Sus scrofa: one gene and its partners. The protein of the gene in region 2 purifies or fractionates together with the protein of the main gene of each other region. This does not show direct contact. Links are inferred from orthologs where the notes say so. Each region holds a gene or a part of one and is shown on either strand. Other genes may lie near its edges.

What was found.
Region 1: the proteins of H2AFZ (region 2) and MBTD1 purify together in Homo sapiens (affinity purification with mass spectrometry; 3 studies listed by BioGRID and IntAct, with this or other methods). This does not show direct contact. The link is inferred for Sus scrofa from reciprocal best matches to the Homo sapiens genes H2AZ1 and MBTD1.
Region 3: the proteins of H2AFZ (region 2) and TRRAP purify together in Homo sapiens (affinity purification with mass spectrometry; 3 studies listed by BioGRID and IntAct, with this or other methods). This does not show direct contact. The link is inferred for Sus scrofa from reciprocal best matches to the Homo sapiens genes H2AZ1 and TRRAP.

The regions. Positions count from the first base shown.
Region 1 is NC_010454.4:27,459,711-27,464,881, reverse strand, and holds part of MBTD1 (MBT domain-containing protein 1), read left to right. Parts: exon of another isoform or gene 1-460; coding exon 461-538; intron 539-4,188; coding exon 4,189-4,380; intron 4,381-5,171. UniProt on the Homo sapiens protein: Chromatin reader component of the NuA4 histone acetyltransferase complex, a multiprotein complex involved in transcriptional activation of select genes principally by acetylation of nucleosomal histones H4 and H2A.
Region 2 is NC_010450.4:120,561,964-120,567,234, forward strand, and holds H2AFZ (histone H2A.Z), read left to right. Parts: upstream 1-1,788; 5' UTR 1,789-1,973; coding exon 1,974-1,976; intron 1,977-2,419; coding exon 2,420-2,497; intron 2,498-2,779; coding exon 2,780-2,893; intron 2,894-3,231; coding exon 3,232-3,361; intron 3,362-3,638; coding exon 3,639-3,700; 3' UTR 3,701-4,060; downstream 4,061-5,271. UniProt on the Homo sapiens protein: Variant histone H2A which replaces conventional H2A in a subset of nucleosomes. Nucleosomes wrap and compact DNA into chromatin, limiting DNA accessibility to the cellular machineries which require DNA as a template.
Region 3 is NC_010445.4:6,024,011-6,027,999, forward strand, and holds part of TRRAP (transformation/transcription domain-associated protein), read left to right. Parts: intron 1-1,723; coding exon 1,724-1,927; exon of another isoform or gene 1,928-2,001; coding exon 2,002-2,196; intron 2,197-3,989. UniProt on the Homo sapiens protein: Adapter protein, which is found in various multiprotein chromatin complexes with histone acetyltransferase activity (HAT), which gives a specific tag for epigenetic transcription activation.

The DNA of each region.
Region 1 (5,171 bases), on a different chromosome or scaffold from region 2:
TAAAAATCAGCAGTTCTCGGAGGACTATCTCACATAAATCATCTTGTGAGCTCACAGGACAAGAATATACCTAAGTCTGATTGGTTGCCAGGTAAGATCTTAAGACTCAACGACAATATCACAGAATCAGACCATGTGTTCCATGGCAGTGTGAACTCAGTAGTCAGTTACATAATGACTATAGAAACACAACATCAAGAGCACTCACCAAATTAAACTGTACTTATTTTAATGAGTTTAAAATTACAGGCTAATAAATTTTATGTTATTGGTGTATTTGAAGGACTTATTGAATAAGTAGTGGAATCTCTCTGGTATTGAAGTTCATGGTTTTGCAGGAAAAAGTACCCTTATTTTTAAAACATTGTATACTTTTATAAGCGTAATGTTCTTGGTGAACTAAGTTGTATCTAGATTTGTAAGGAGTTGTCTGGTACCAATTTTCCCTTTTATTTTTCAGCATCAAGAGAAAGCCAATCAGGTTCATCAAAGCAGAAGAAAAAGGCTAAGTCCCAGCAATACAAAGGACATAAGAAAAGTGGGTCACCATGTGGTGTTTATATACACTTTGTAACTTGTTAACCAGTTGGGGTCTTAAATATTCTTGCACAGAAACGATACCCTTTTTGAGAGCAGATAACTGTGCATTCTGTATTATGCTTAAAGGTGCAGTATGCTATAAAAGGCAAACCTTTTCAGTAATGAGAAACACTTACCTTTGATAGGGGAAATTATTACCATAATATTTAATATGTGGTAAAGAATAGAGTCTGTGGACAATTCTTGAAGTAACATGTAAACCTTCTGAAAATTAATCTTTTTTAAATCTTTAAGAGTTTTACAACTTTAAAAGCAGATGCTTACAATAGACTTGGAGATTAATAAACCCATCCTTATAAATGAAAACTCTTTCTAGAATGATGCTTTTGAGAAATTCAAGGTGATAGCTAACAAAATCAGACCTAAGAAAAGTTTTCTCAGAATGCTCCTGTGCGGCAGGTTCAGCCCCTGGCCCAGGAACTTCTACATGCCATCGGTGTGGCCAAAAAAAATTTTTCTTGGGACTTCCCATGATGACTCAGTGGGTTAAGAACCCAACTAGTATCCTTGAAGATGTCGGTTCAATCCCTGGCCTCGCTCAGGGAGTTAAGGATCTGGCGTTGTCGTGAGCTGTGGTGTAGGTCACAGACGTTGCTCGCATCTTGTGTTGCTGTGGCTGTGGTGTAGGCCAGCAGCTCCAGCTCTGATTCAACCCCTAGCCTGGGAACCTCCATATGCCACAGGTGCAGCCCTAACTCTGATTTTTTTTTTTTTTTTAATCTTTTTTCCCCCAACATAGGAAGCCACAGATTTTTTTTCTTCATGAAACTTGTGGAATATTTTGCTCTGAGATATGGTTATTTTTATTTAAAGTTTTTTTTTTAAGTAAAAAGTACATTCGAGGATTAAAATTAAAACAGATTTTTCCAACTAACTTGCCCTATGTTCAAGGATCCCCTGTGGCATATGGAAGTTGATTGAACCTGAACCACAGCAATAACCTGAACCACTGCAGTGACAGCACTGGATCCTTAACCATCTGTGCCACAAGGAAAATCCAGCCCTTATCTTTTTGATCATAAATGTTTGTTTATAATTTCTTCAGTGAGAAACCTAACTTCTAGCAGCCAGTGCAGTGGTTCTTTGGTTTCCTCCGCATAAAAAACCCATATCAGCCTCACAGTAGTGATAACCATCAGGCCCCTAACCCTCTCTTTCATATTATAGACATAAGCCTCCTACAGTCCCAGAATTGTTTTGCCACCCAGCTGCTTACCATGTTTGATCACTAAGCTTTCTCTAAGGCTGAGTAGTACAGGCCGCTTTGGCCTGTCTTTTCACATTTTATTTGATAAGACTTTGAGATATCAGGATTTTCTTTCCATAATGTGTGGAATTTCAGAACATTTTTTATTACTTAGTAACTGTGTGATGTATGTTTTTTAGATCTAATTTCTGAGCATTGTATGCACAGATCGCATACCTCAGTTGGTGTAACTCTTACTGGGTTTGTGGCTTATGGGGTGTAATGATTTTGAATGAATGGGCTAGGGACATGGGAAGAAATGTGAAATTAATAAAGTGGTAATATCATTATCCTAGTTTTTAGTGATAACAGTACTAGATTTCAGGATTAGCTGAAAAACTGGATATAGCTACAATATGATGTGTCCTTTAACTTTTAGTAGCTCTTAATATTATGACATCATCTCCAATGCCTTTAAATTGTCCTTTGGACATAAAAAAGAACTGTGGACCCACAGTCCCTTATTAGAAATCCTTAGGCCAGATGTGTTTTGAAATTTAGAATTATTTGGATTTTAGAAAAGAAGTACATTGTTTGTAGCATATATTATGTAACATCCCTTGTAGGCTCTGCAGCATTTCCCAAAGCAAAATATGCATAAATAGTTACATTTAATGGGCTAAATAAAGGTTATAAATAGTATACCAAGTAAGGTCTGGTTTTGTCGCCAAAGTTGTGCCGAAAAAACTTTGAATTTTTGGAATTAAGGATAAGGAATTGTAGTTCTGTGTGCATGAAGAGGCAGTCTTCTTGTAAGGGTACTCTTTGCTCCTTTAATTTTTTTTTCACATTACTCGGCAGCAAGTAGTTTATTACAACCTTTTCACACAAAACTTTATTTACCAAAATAAGAAAGAATTGGGGGGTCCAAGAACTTAAGTCATCCATTGTATGCAGATTTATGTCAGACAGGCTACAAAACCTATTTGGTTTTAAGGTTGTCTACAGATTATTATATTCTGGTTCTGTTGTTTCATCTTTGGTCTTACTGTACCTAAAATCATCCGTCAGTATATTCTTTTGGTAGGGCTTACTTTTTACAGAAATAGATTGGCTTCATTGTCCTAGCTTGTCTTTTGATTAGCTGTGTATGAACATGCTTTATAGCATGAGGGGATAACTATTAACCAGTGCTGTTGAGAAATAAGAGTTACGTTCTGTCAAGAGGATCATTGTATGCAAGTCATCTATCCAATCTGAAAAGCCTTTTTTTCCTCAAGGTTTAATAATTCTAGAGCAGGAAAATCAACACTAATTTCTGTACCATCTTCAGGGGCTTTTGTAAGTAGTAGAAAGGTAGAAACTCTCCTGGCATTTTTATCTCCAAGTGTGTGGTACATTAGACTCTTGTCTACATGATTGCTGCAAATGATTTTGGTTTGGCAGTTGAGAATTAAATGTGTACTCATAGGAGCTTGGTTTCCAGATCATTTTACATAGGAATACTGTCTGACTTGTATTTATCTTTTTAGTCCTAATTTTGCAAAGCATAATTTCTAATTGATCCTGCCTGGGTCATTTGTAAGAAAAAAAAAAAAAAAAACACTCTTAAAGAAAACATGTAATTTATAGTCACAAAGCTATGTAAGTATCCTTCAGCTTTCAACCTATTAATGCAGAATGCTTGTTTATTCAATATTCGCAGAGCTTAGATTATTATTTGTTGGTGGTGAAAGCATTGTGTAAGTCTTCGAAGGTTTTTGTGTGCTTATGAAACTCTAATGAAAAGTGTTTTAGAAGAAATTAGATTGCTTACAAACATGCAGTCAACAAATGTTTAAACTTTAGAACTGCTTTTCAGATTAAGAATTATGACTTTCCTGAAAGAGTGGATTATAAACCGAAAGTTAGAGAAGTACATTTCATATCAGTAAAGTCCTGCCACGTGTCAAATACATTTATTAAATTGTTTGATTTCTCTCTGAAGGACAGTGTTTGTCTTACATGGGCAGCCACTGACTTTGGCCTGCAAGTAGGGTTTTTAAACCCTCTCTCTTCTAGTGGATTTTCAGTCCCCTCAAATTAAAATTTTCCCAATTAGCCAGCTAATTCTTCACACTCAGTGCTCTCTATAGTTCATTTTGCTTTCTTTTGTTTTCAATGGAGAGTCAGGATCCAGGATTTGGACTTGCAGAGACTAGAAATAATCACCTGTCATCCATTCCGCAGCCCACGCACGCACACATACATGCCCACCCACCCCTTGGTTTTAGAAATGCAAACCTTGCATAGTTGGCTCTCTTTTCAGAGTACCCTATGCAATGCAGCCTTTCCTAGTTATGATGCACTTTTCTTACCACACATGTAAGTAAAAGCTTACTTTAGTTTGACTTGATATTTAGAGAGGAAGATGCCAAGTGGGAAGAAGCCTGTCAGTTTGTCGAGCCTACCCATGACAGGTGGGCTGCGGAGGAGCTTCTCTGGTGACGAAGAGTTGACTCCTCCTCCATATCGAACCCTTCCAGCACAGACAGCCTCGGAGGCCTTCCCACCTCCCCGCACTAGCCGAGAGTTCAGTCCCAGCCTCAAAACAGGTAATTAGTCCCATCAGCACCTCAGGTACTGCAGAGGGTCAAGGTCTGGGTTCGGGTCGGGGGAGCGAAGGCGGGGGAGAGAAGGCATGGTCTGGCGTGACAGATGCTGGCTCATTAAATTTTTCTTTTTCTTTCAACTGAAAATTTCATTTTCACTAGTTCTTGATAGTCACTTCACTAAGATGAATCATCAGGGAAAGACTTTTATTTTGTTATAAGCCACTTCTGAGCTTCAAATTCAGATAGAGCTGTAATTTCAGTTTATGAAATTGCGAGACAGCTTATACTATTTCATGGTCTCATTAAAATAGTTGAACATCTTCCATTGTAGAATTCTATGTTACTTGACCTGGAGGAGAAATAGGCCATGAGGGATCAATCCGATTAATCAGATCCAGAAATGAGGCTTTGTTCTTAGCATTCCATAGCATCTCATTCAGTAGAAATAATGTGTTTTGTGTTCCTTTGTAATTTTGGTTCTGGTAGTAACATTTACCACAATTTTAGTTGAATAGCATGGACTTGGAAATACATTATCAGTATAATTTGGGTGTTGAATTTGAGCAAAATTTATTTGTGTAATTTCGTGCTTATGTAGGTACAGTGATTTAAGTAAGTGACATTTAGTTGAATTGGTTAGGCCAAGCTGGTAGAGTGTAAGAAAGACTGCCCTTTGTAATTGCTAAGAACAAACATGTTATCATAGAATATCAGAAAGGCTTCAGTTAACGTTTGGTGAGTCTTAGAGATGAGTACAGATCACATAGCTTCAAAGCCAAAGTTGTATCTGC
Region 2 (5,271 bases):
ATGCGGCGTGGCTGCAGCCCTAAAAAGCAATATCAATTAATCAATCAATCAAAAACATTTATGTTAAAAATGTAAGGTAGGGATTATTATGGATGTGGATTTACGATTTAGGTGGAGGGATGACTTATAAAATACTAATATAGGTGAAATATTATTTGGGAAAACAATATCAACACAGAGTCCCTCCCTCTACCCAGCAAATCCTAAAGATCAATAATAGATAATGAAAGGATAATATAAGACCCTAATTTTTTTTCCCTTTTTTGCCTTTTAGGGCTGCACTCAGGGCATACAGAAGTTCCCAAGTTAGGGGTGGAATCAGAGATGCAGCTGCCAGCCTACACCACAGTCACAGCCATGCAGGATCCCAGCCACGCATGCCATCTAGTCCACAGCTCAGGGCAACCAAGGATCCTTAACTCACTGAGTGAGGCCGGGAATTGAACTCGCGTCCTCGTGGATACTAGCTGGGTTCTTTAGCGCCAAGCCACAACAGGAACTCCCAATTTTTTAATTTTAAAATTAACAGCAAATTTCCAAAAAAACTTGATAAAACTTTCAGATTGAAACCCAAACTACAGTACTAAAGAGTATATATTTCAAATTTTCTTAATGTCAGAAATACTGAATTATGTTTATAACGTAATTACTGTTAAAACTCCAAGTATGAAAGATTTGGATCACTACTGTCTCCAAGCAGCTGGACGTGTACAGAGGTGCTATTAATCTATTAGTTGGAAAATTAAGTAGCTGGCATTATGATAGTACTGTGTGTACAGTACTATTTTTTTAAGCCCATCATTTGCATTTGATTACATGGACCATCTGTAACTGCCTGTGAATCATATGAGGACATTTACCGAACATTTGTCAAGTAGCAAAATGTTTAGCATAGAAGAGTTGACACATAATAGCCTTCATGTTTCACTAAATCAACTTTAGAAGCCAGGCTATAGGTACAACCCACAGACGTGTAGTCTTTAGAAAAATATGATTTGATTAAAGAATACCGCCTCAGCCCAAGCCTTCAGTGGGTAGACCAAAAGGTCTTTTATGACCAGCGAGGTGACTTTGCTTCACCGTCTTTTCCATGAAACTGTTCTGTTGGGGTTGGGGAGGTAGGGGGTTCAAAAAGTCCTGAGAAAAGAAGAGGAAGGAGATACAGCTGAAAAAGTGGGAGCAGAGGGTCGTGATGAATCGGTGGCTGGGCACTTGCCTAGGAGGAACAAACGCGAAATCACTACCCAGACTATGGTTAGCGAAGGAGTCGGGGCGCCTTTCACTGGACGCCTTCGCGCCACCTGTCAGACCGGAGGTGTCAACGGGAATGCAGGGGGGTCGGTGAAGGTACCCCGTGCTCCGGAAGAAGGCTGCGGACAGGCGGGTCTCTGCCCGCCAGGTGTTCTAACGGGGCGGAGGCGGAGGGAGGGCAGGGCAGGAAGGAGGGAGTGCTAGTCCCCGCTTTCCGAGGTCTCTGGAACCGAGCAAGGAGGCAAAGGTGGAATAGGGGGCAGCTACTGCGTGCCCCTCCCCTGAGCCTCTCAGCTCCTCCCTCCAGGCACGTGACTAAGCCGGCGGGTGCCCTGCTCAAGCAGCGTAGCTCGCTCTGTTTCTTCCCTCCCGCCGCTGTGCCCTTCTTCTCCCGGGTTCCCATCCCTCCGTTCTCCCCCACCTCCTTCTCATGCCCCAATAACAGCTCGAGCTGCAAAGCGCCCGCCCCTCCGCCCTTTTCTTCGCTTGCTCATTGGCTGAGACTTCAAGGACGCGGCCCGAGGGCGGGTGGCAGCCATTGGTGGGATGAGCAATCCGAGTTCCCGGATGAGGGAACATTCTGCAGTATAAAGGGAGCGGGGAAGGCGGGAGACAGCGCAGTTTGAATCGCGGTGCGACGGAGGAGTAGGCGGCGGGATCTCGCTTGGTGACTGACTAGTCCTTTCTCTGCCTTGCTTGTTTGAGCTTCAGCAGAATTCGAAATGGTAAACTTCGCGGAGGCGCTCGAAGACTACGCGGGTTTTTGCCGGCAGGAGAAAAACCCGTTACACACGGAGATGGGGGTGAAGCGGTGACGGTTGGGAACGCGCGGAGAGAGGATGTGGAAGAGCGGGGGGAGGTGTTTTGTCGGCGGCGAGCGGAGCAGCCTCCGATCTCGCGGCGGGCGGCGACGGTTGGGTGGCGCGCGCAGCGCCGCTGGGAGCCGGAGGGCGGTGAGCGGGCGGCCTGAAGCGCGCGGCCGCGGCGGGCGCGCAGCGGGGGGCAGGCGGGCGGGGTCGCCCTTGCGGCGCGCGGCGGGCCGGAGACCCCGGCTGGGCACCGGGCCCCGCTCGCGCCCGGGCCGCCCCGCGGTGGGGGAGGGGCGCGCCGCCTTGGTAATCCTGTATTCTGCGTTCCTTCTTCGCTCGCGGGCGTGTGCGCGCCGCAGGCTGGCGGTAAGGCTGGGAAGGACTCCGGAAAGGCCAAGACAAAGGCGGTTTCCCGCTCGCAGAGAGCCGGTTTGCAGGTCAGTGGGGGTTTCTGCTGTCTGGGAATCGCGGCGTTTTTCTCTCCTTTTTCTCTGTTTATCATTGCACTAGATGAGCTTTTGGTCTTTGCGTGGTGATGGTGTCGGGACTTGGTTTACCGATACAATAAATATTGGGGAAGGGGGGGCGATCACGTGTGGCGATGCTAGGGCGCGTTGCTGCATCAGCCTCCGTGCCCCTTGCTTTGGCGCGCGTATAATTTGACCATTTTTGGCTCCTCTATCTTTGTGCATTTGTGTTTGTGTATGCGAAAAATGAAGTTTCCGGTGGGCCGTATTCATCGACACCTGAAATCTAGGACGACCAGCCATGGACGTGTGGGCGCGACTGCCGCTGTGTACAGCGCAGCCATCCTGGAGTACCTCACCGCAGAGGTAAATGGGTGTACGCCTGTAATCTGGAAAAGGTGGTGGGGGGAGGCGGTGAGAGGGAAGGAGGAAAGTGATGCAAGAAAACTCCCAGGCTCTGAACGCGGTGAGAAGCTTCTGACAACGCTAGAGGGGGCTGGTGTTCATTTTGGGTTCCTCCTGAGCTTGAGTTGACTGCTTTAGGAAATAAAATTGCGTGTCCCCTTTATAGCTTTTGCATATCTTGCCATTCAGGTAGTGGGGGGAGACGGCAGTTGGTAGATACACGTTCACGAAGGTTTGATTCTTCTGGATCTTGATCCTAAGGAAAGTTGGCAGGAGATTGATTAGATTCTGTCTTCTAGGTACTTGAATTGGCAGGAAATGCATCAAAAGACTTGAAGGTAAAGCGTATTACTCCTCGTCACTTGCAACTTGCTATTCGTGGAGATGAAGAATTGGATTCTCTCATCAAGGCTACAATCGCTGGTGGTGGTATGTAAATACTAAAAATTTTTTAATTTCTTTAGATAATTCTTTACTTTTTTCCCCCACTAGAAGAGGACACTTAGTGTTATTTTCAGTGATCTGTAGTATGGTTGCATCATGAAAATTGATTCCTGTATATAACTTAGTGAATTTTTACTTCTGCATACTCTGGCCTCACATTTAAAGACTTCTTCGAAGTTGAACGTTAAACTGTCATGGTTTTGAAGTCCTGTGTTAATTTTCAAAATAATGTATATTTAAAAGTATCCCTTTCCTCCCCTAGGTGTCATTCCACACATCCACAAATCTCTCATTGGGAAGAAAGGACAACAGAAGACTGTCTAAAGGATGCCTGGATTCCTTATTATCTCAGGACTCTAAATACTCTAACAGCTGTCCAGTGTTGGTGATTCCAATGGACTGTATCTCTGTGAAAAACACAATTTTGCCTTTTTGTAATTCTATTTGAGCAAGTTGGAAGTTTAATTAGCTTTCCAACCAACCAAATTTCTGCATTCGAGTCTTAACCATATTTAAGTGTTACTGTGGCTTCAAAGAAGCTATTGATTCTGAAGTAGTGGGTTTTGATTGAGTTGACTGTTTTTAAAAAACTGTTTGGATTTTAATTGTGATGCAGAAGTTATAGTAACAAACATTTGGTTTTGTACAGACATTATTTCCACTTCGGTGGATAAGCTCAATAAAGGTCATATCCCAAACTAGTTGTGTATTAAATTCACTTGATTATGATGGGAACAACTTTTGTTTTGAATAACTATCTTATCCAGCAATAACTTAATAAGCACGTTTCTTACCTTGAAATTAAAATGTTAATTTTGTAGATCAACAAACCTCGAAGGCTAAAGCATATATATATTTTTTAATGCTATGAGATGAACTATTAAAGATTTTAAAACTTCAGTAGGAGCTTGGAACTGGACAAGGTGATGTTTTTTAGGTTAAATTTGATCATCTCAATTTGTCGCTGCACTTGCTGTTTGTGACAGCAGCACTACATCCAGAGCACTGTCATGGACTGGGGCAGGTAGGGAAGTTCTGTATATTGCTACCTCCACAGAAGGTACTTTCAGTATAAACAGTGAAGTGTTTCCTGTGTTCTCCCACTGTTTCAAAGGCTACCTGGATTAAACTGTTCAGTATGCACCATCTAATCCCGTTTTTACAGAAAAGAATCAAGGTTGGAGTTCCCCTGTGGAATAGCAGATTAAAGGTCCCGTGTTGTCACTGCAGGGGCTCCAGTGGCTGCTGTGGTGGGGGTTTGGTCACTGCCCTGGGGAACTTCTACATGCCTTGGACTCACCAAAAAAGAATCAGGGTTTCTCTGAAAGTCCTGAGTTGATCATATTTGCTGTCATGGCTGTCTTTACTGAACATTGTATGAAACGATTATTTTGTGGTTAAGTTGATTGGATCGTTTTGACATGACACTTGGCTTCTGACAAGTTCTTAGTTTTTGAAACTCGGATTAGGTCATTACAAGGCTCATCCTGCACACGGAGACCAGTATGACAGGTATAGCATTTCACAGGGGTAATGTGAAAAAAGAGTAGGGAGAAAACCAGCAAATAGATACATGATGGTAATACATTCCCAACGAGCTGATTCCTTCCTCGTTTTGGTCATGTAGGATTATTAGGGTTCCGGTTTTTCGCCAGAGTAAAGGCAAACTGCAAATTGTGTTTACTTTAACTCCCGGATGTACTAAGGAGATGGTTTTACTGCAGCTGGGTCAGGAAAGTGCTGAAAGAGGCAATGAAACAAGCCCTGAGTTAGGGTCGAAAGGCCCTCTACTGTGTCCCAGTACACCTGTGCCGGAAGCGCAGCCCTCACCTGACCGAATCCTCCCCAGGCTGAGGGGGGCCCTGAGGCGGGGCCTTCGACCTCTGGGAATTTTC
Region 3 (3,989 bases), on a different chromosome or scaffold from region 2:
AGCTGCTGTCACTGCCTCAAGCACCTGCCTGAACGCTGAGTTCAAACAGACTCCAGCCCAGTGAATGGGAGTTTTTTTCAGGAAGCTGCCAAAAGGTCAGCTGTGACTGTCCTTCGGGGACAAGGCCTTTGTGGGGTCACCACATCCATTCCGCCCACTCCAGTGGCTCTTAGGCTGCAAACTTCACAGCTGCCATGATGGCAAGGCTGTGGTTGTCAAGGCCATCATGCAGCTGGGAGATGGGGATGGGACAGTCGTTTTTTGTTTGTTTCCTTTTTGTAGCCATTCCTGTGGCATATGGAAGTTCCTAGGCTAGGGGTCTAATCAGAGCTGTAGCTGCTGGCCTACACCACAGCAACGCCCGCTCTGAACCGTGCCTGTGACCTACACTGCAGCTCAAGGCAATGCCCTTAACGCACTGAGCGAGGCCAGGGATCGAACCCACTGTTGGGTTCTTAATCTGCTGAGCCACAACCGGAACTGAACTGCAAAAGGCTCACTGCTCTCACCAACGGTCGCCCCCCCCCCCCTTTTTAGTAAAAGTTGCTCGGGTTGTTACAAGCCTCTAAGTTCCAGAGTTCTGGAAAAGCTGGTTTTGATGGGTGGTGCGAGTTCTTAGTGCCCTTACGGAGCAGCGGACCCTGGAGGTGCTCCCTTTGCTCTCTCAGGTGTGCTTCTTTCCACCTGAGACGGAATGAACAGGAACGAGGCACGGTTGATGATCTGCAGAGCTGTTGGTTGCTCAGGGCCTGTGTGCCCGTGGGTGGCAGGGCACAAGGGTACGACTCGGCCCAGAAGAGGCCTTTACCAGTTGGTCTCTCAGGGACTTATCCAACTCAGTAACCTTTTCATTGAGACCATTCTCTGATGTTTGAAATAGCCTTATGAGCCTGCTAGTCCAGAATTCAGTTTAAAGTGTGGTGTAACATCTAAATTTTTTTTTTTTTTTTTTTGTCTTTTTAGGGCAGCATCCGCGGCATATGGAGGGTCCCAGGCTAGGAGTCAAATCAGGGCTACAGCTGCCAGCCTCCACCATAGCCACAGCAACACAGGATCTGAGCCACGTCTGCGACCTACACCACAGCTCACAGCAATGCCAGATACTTAACCCACTGAGTGAGGCCAGGAATCGAACTCACAACCTCACGGTTCCTAGTCGGGTTCGTTAACCACCGCGCCACGATGGGAACTCTGCATCTAATCTAATTTTAAATTCAGTCCTTCGGTTTATAAAATTTTGGTCTTCAGTTGCCTTAGTTACGAAGTATTCTTTTGTTCTTTTTGTTAGTTGGTCTGTGTGTTCTGGTGTATTGGCCAGTTACAGTGTTCAGACTTTAGCTAAGTTCTCGGTGAGATGGGTAGTCAGTTGGCTGTCATGTAACTGAGGCTTTTATTCCCGCAGCTCCGCTGTTGATTTGGGTACAAGACAAGGAGCCTTGCAGGAAATTGACGCGTTTTGTGCGTCCTCAGGGTTAGTCCAGTGAGACAGCATAAGTATTTGCCAGCAGAAGCCACCGTGCCGGTGCTGAGCAAGAAAAAAGTGACAGGGGTTCCCTTGCGGCGCAGCAGGTGAAGGGTCTGGCATTGCCGCTGCGGTGGTGGGGGTTCAGTTTCCGGTCCCGGAACTCGCACGCGCCGTGGGGGGCAGAGCGAGAGAGGAGCGGCAGTCGCGCGTCTTCTGCCCGGAGCAGAGGCGAGCGCGGCGGCGCGTGTCTGGTTCCAGGTGCTCCGCGACATCCTCAAGGAGGTCCAGAGCAACATGGTGCCGCGCAGCATGCTCCGGGAGTGGGCCCTGCACACCTTCCCCAACGCCACCGACTACTGGACCTTCCGCAAGATGCTCACCATCCAGCTCGCGCTCATCGGCTTCGCCGAGTTTGTGCTGCATCTCAACAGGCTCAACCCCGAGATGCTGCAGATAGCGCAGGTAAGCCGCGGCGCGCGGCCGGCCCCGCTCCCCCCGGCCCGGTCCCTGCTTGAGCGCCTCCCTCTGACGTCCAGGACACCGGCAAACTCAACGTGGCCTACTTCCGATTCGACATAAATGACGCGACCGGAGACTTGGACGCCAACCGCCCTGTCCCGTTCCGCCTCACCCCCAACATTTCCGAGTTTCTGACCACCATCGGCGTCTCGGGCCCTTTGACCGCGTCCATGATCGCCGTGGCCCGGTGCTTCGCCCAGCCCAACTTCAAGGTGGGTCCCGGGTGGCCTGCAGGAGCACGGCCGCATGCTCAGCGCGTGTGGGCTCGGGAATCGCGGGCTCTGCTGAAGAGGGAGGAGGCCCCGGGGCAAGAGCTCTCATTGCTGCACAGCTGCACTTACTCACTTGGGGAAAGGGGTTTTTTTGGTGGTTTTTTTTGTTTCTTTTTAGGGCCACACTCGCGGCATATGGAGGTTCCCAGGCCCGGGGTCGAATCAGAGCTACAGCTACTGGCCTACATCACGGCAACGCGAGATCCGAGCTGCGTCTTCGACCTCTACCACAGCTCTTGGCAATGCCGGATCCTTAACCCACTGAGTGAGGCCAGGGATCGAACCTGTGTCCTCATGGACGCTAGTTGGGTTCGGCTCATTATCTCTGAGCCACACCGGGAACCCCCAAGGGAAAAGGATTTTAAGATGTTCTCTGTCCACGAGTGCTGCCAAGAGCAGTCTTGAAGCCTTGGCTGGAGAGTTTGGCTTGACTGTTAGTACTGCACGTCCGTTTTGTTCGCTCCTTCTGTCCTTCGTTTTGCAAGCCTTTCTGCTCTAAAAGGACACAAGCGTGTGTCACCGGCTCCTGGCCTACTGGAGCTGCAGTGACGTGCAGCACATGTAGCCTAGTGGTGAGGCGGGGCGGGATGCCCTCGGCCAAGCCAGGGCGTGTGACAGGGAGGGTGGACAGGTTCAGATCCAGTGCATTCTGACCCCAGCCTGTCTCTCCTAGTTGAGGACGGAACACAATTCGTGTTTTTCCTTTAACTCCTGAGCCCAGCTGTACTGTTGGTTGTTTTCCCAGATGAGCACCTGGGGTCCTGGGAAGCCTCCAAAACCAGTCCCTGTCGCAGAACACTGAACAGGTTTTAGGGCACAGGTACCAAGCTCTTAACTCTGAGCAAGGACTTGACGCCCTTCCTAAGGTTTGGTTGCTCACGCCCGTCACTGTGGAATGCTGCTCTGGGTGGAGCCATTAGCTGTGATGAGCAGGGGGCGAGCAGAGCTTTTTGGCTTCGTGTGAGTAAGGGGTCTGCGCCGGAAGCCGTGAGCCGGAGTGCCCTTTCATCTACTCAGGCTTTTTTTTTTTTTTTTGTCTTTCTGCTTTTTCTTGGGCCGCTCCGCGGCATATGGAGGTTCCCAGGCTAGTGGCCTCATCACAGCTGTAGCCGCCGGCCTACGCCACAGCCACAGCAGCGCGGGATCCGAGCCTCGTCTGCGACCTACACCACAGCTCACGGCAACGCCGGATCCTTAACCCACTGAGCAAGGGCAGGGTTCGAACCCGCAACCTCATGGTTCCTAGTCAGATTTGTTCACCACTGAGCCACGACGGGAACTCCTCAGCCACTCAGGCTTGAGGCTTGAAATGCCAAGTTCTGTTCTGTATAGAAAGTTACCCTTCTGGAAGCAGTCTCAGGGTGAGACTGAAGCCGTGCACGGTGTCAAGACCTCTCACAACCTGGAGCCGCACGGGCCATCTTCGCACAGCCTGCGCTGGTCCAGGTGGAAGGAGCAGGGCCTCTTCCAAACTCTGGGCCCCCGTTTCTTCACAGCCTGAACATGGTGAACGCCTCCACATCAGGCTGGTGTAGAAACGGTTCTGTGTGGTACTGTCTTGTAAAAGCACGTTCCGCTGACGCCAAGCAACTCAGAATAAAACCCTCCGCGCGGGTGGGTCTGCAGCAGCTTCCACCGCCCTGGTGCCTCGCAGAGTGTCTGTGATGGGCCGTGGCTGGCGTCTCCTTGTGTGAAGCCCATCAGGTGGCCATCCCTGCCTTTTTTCTTTTTTA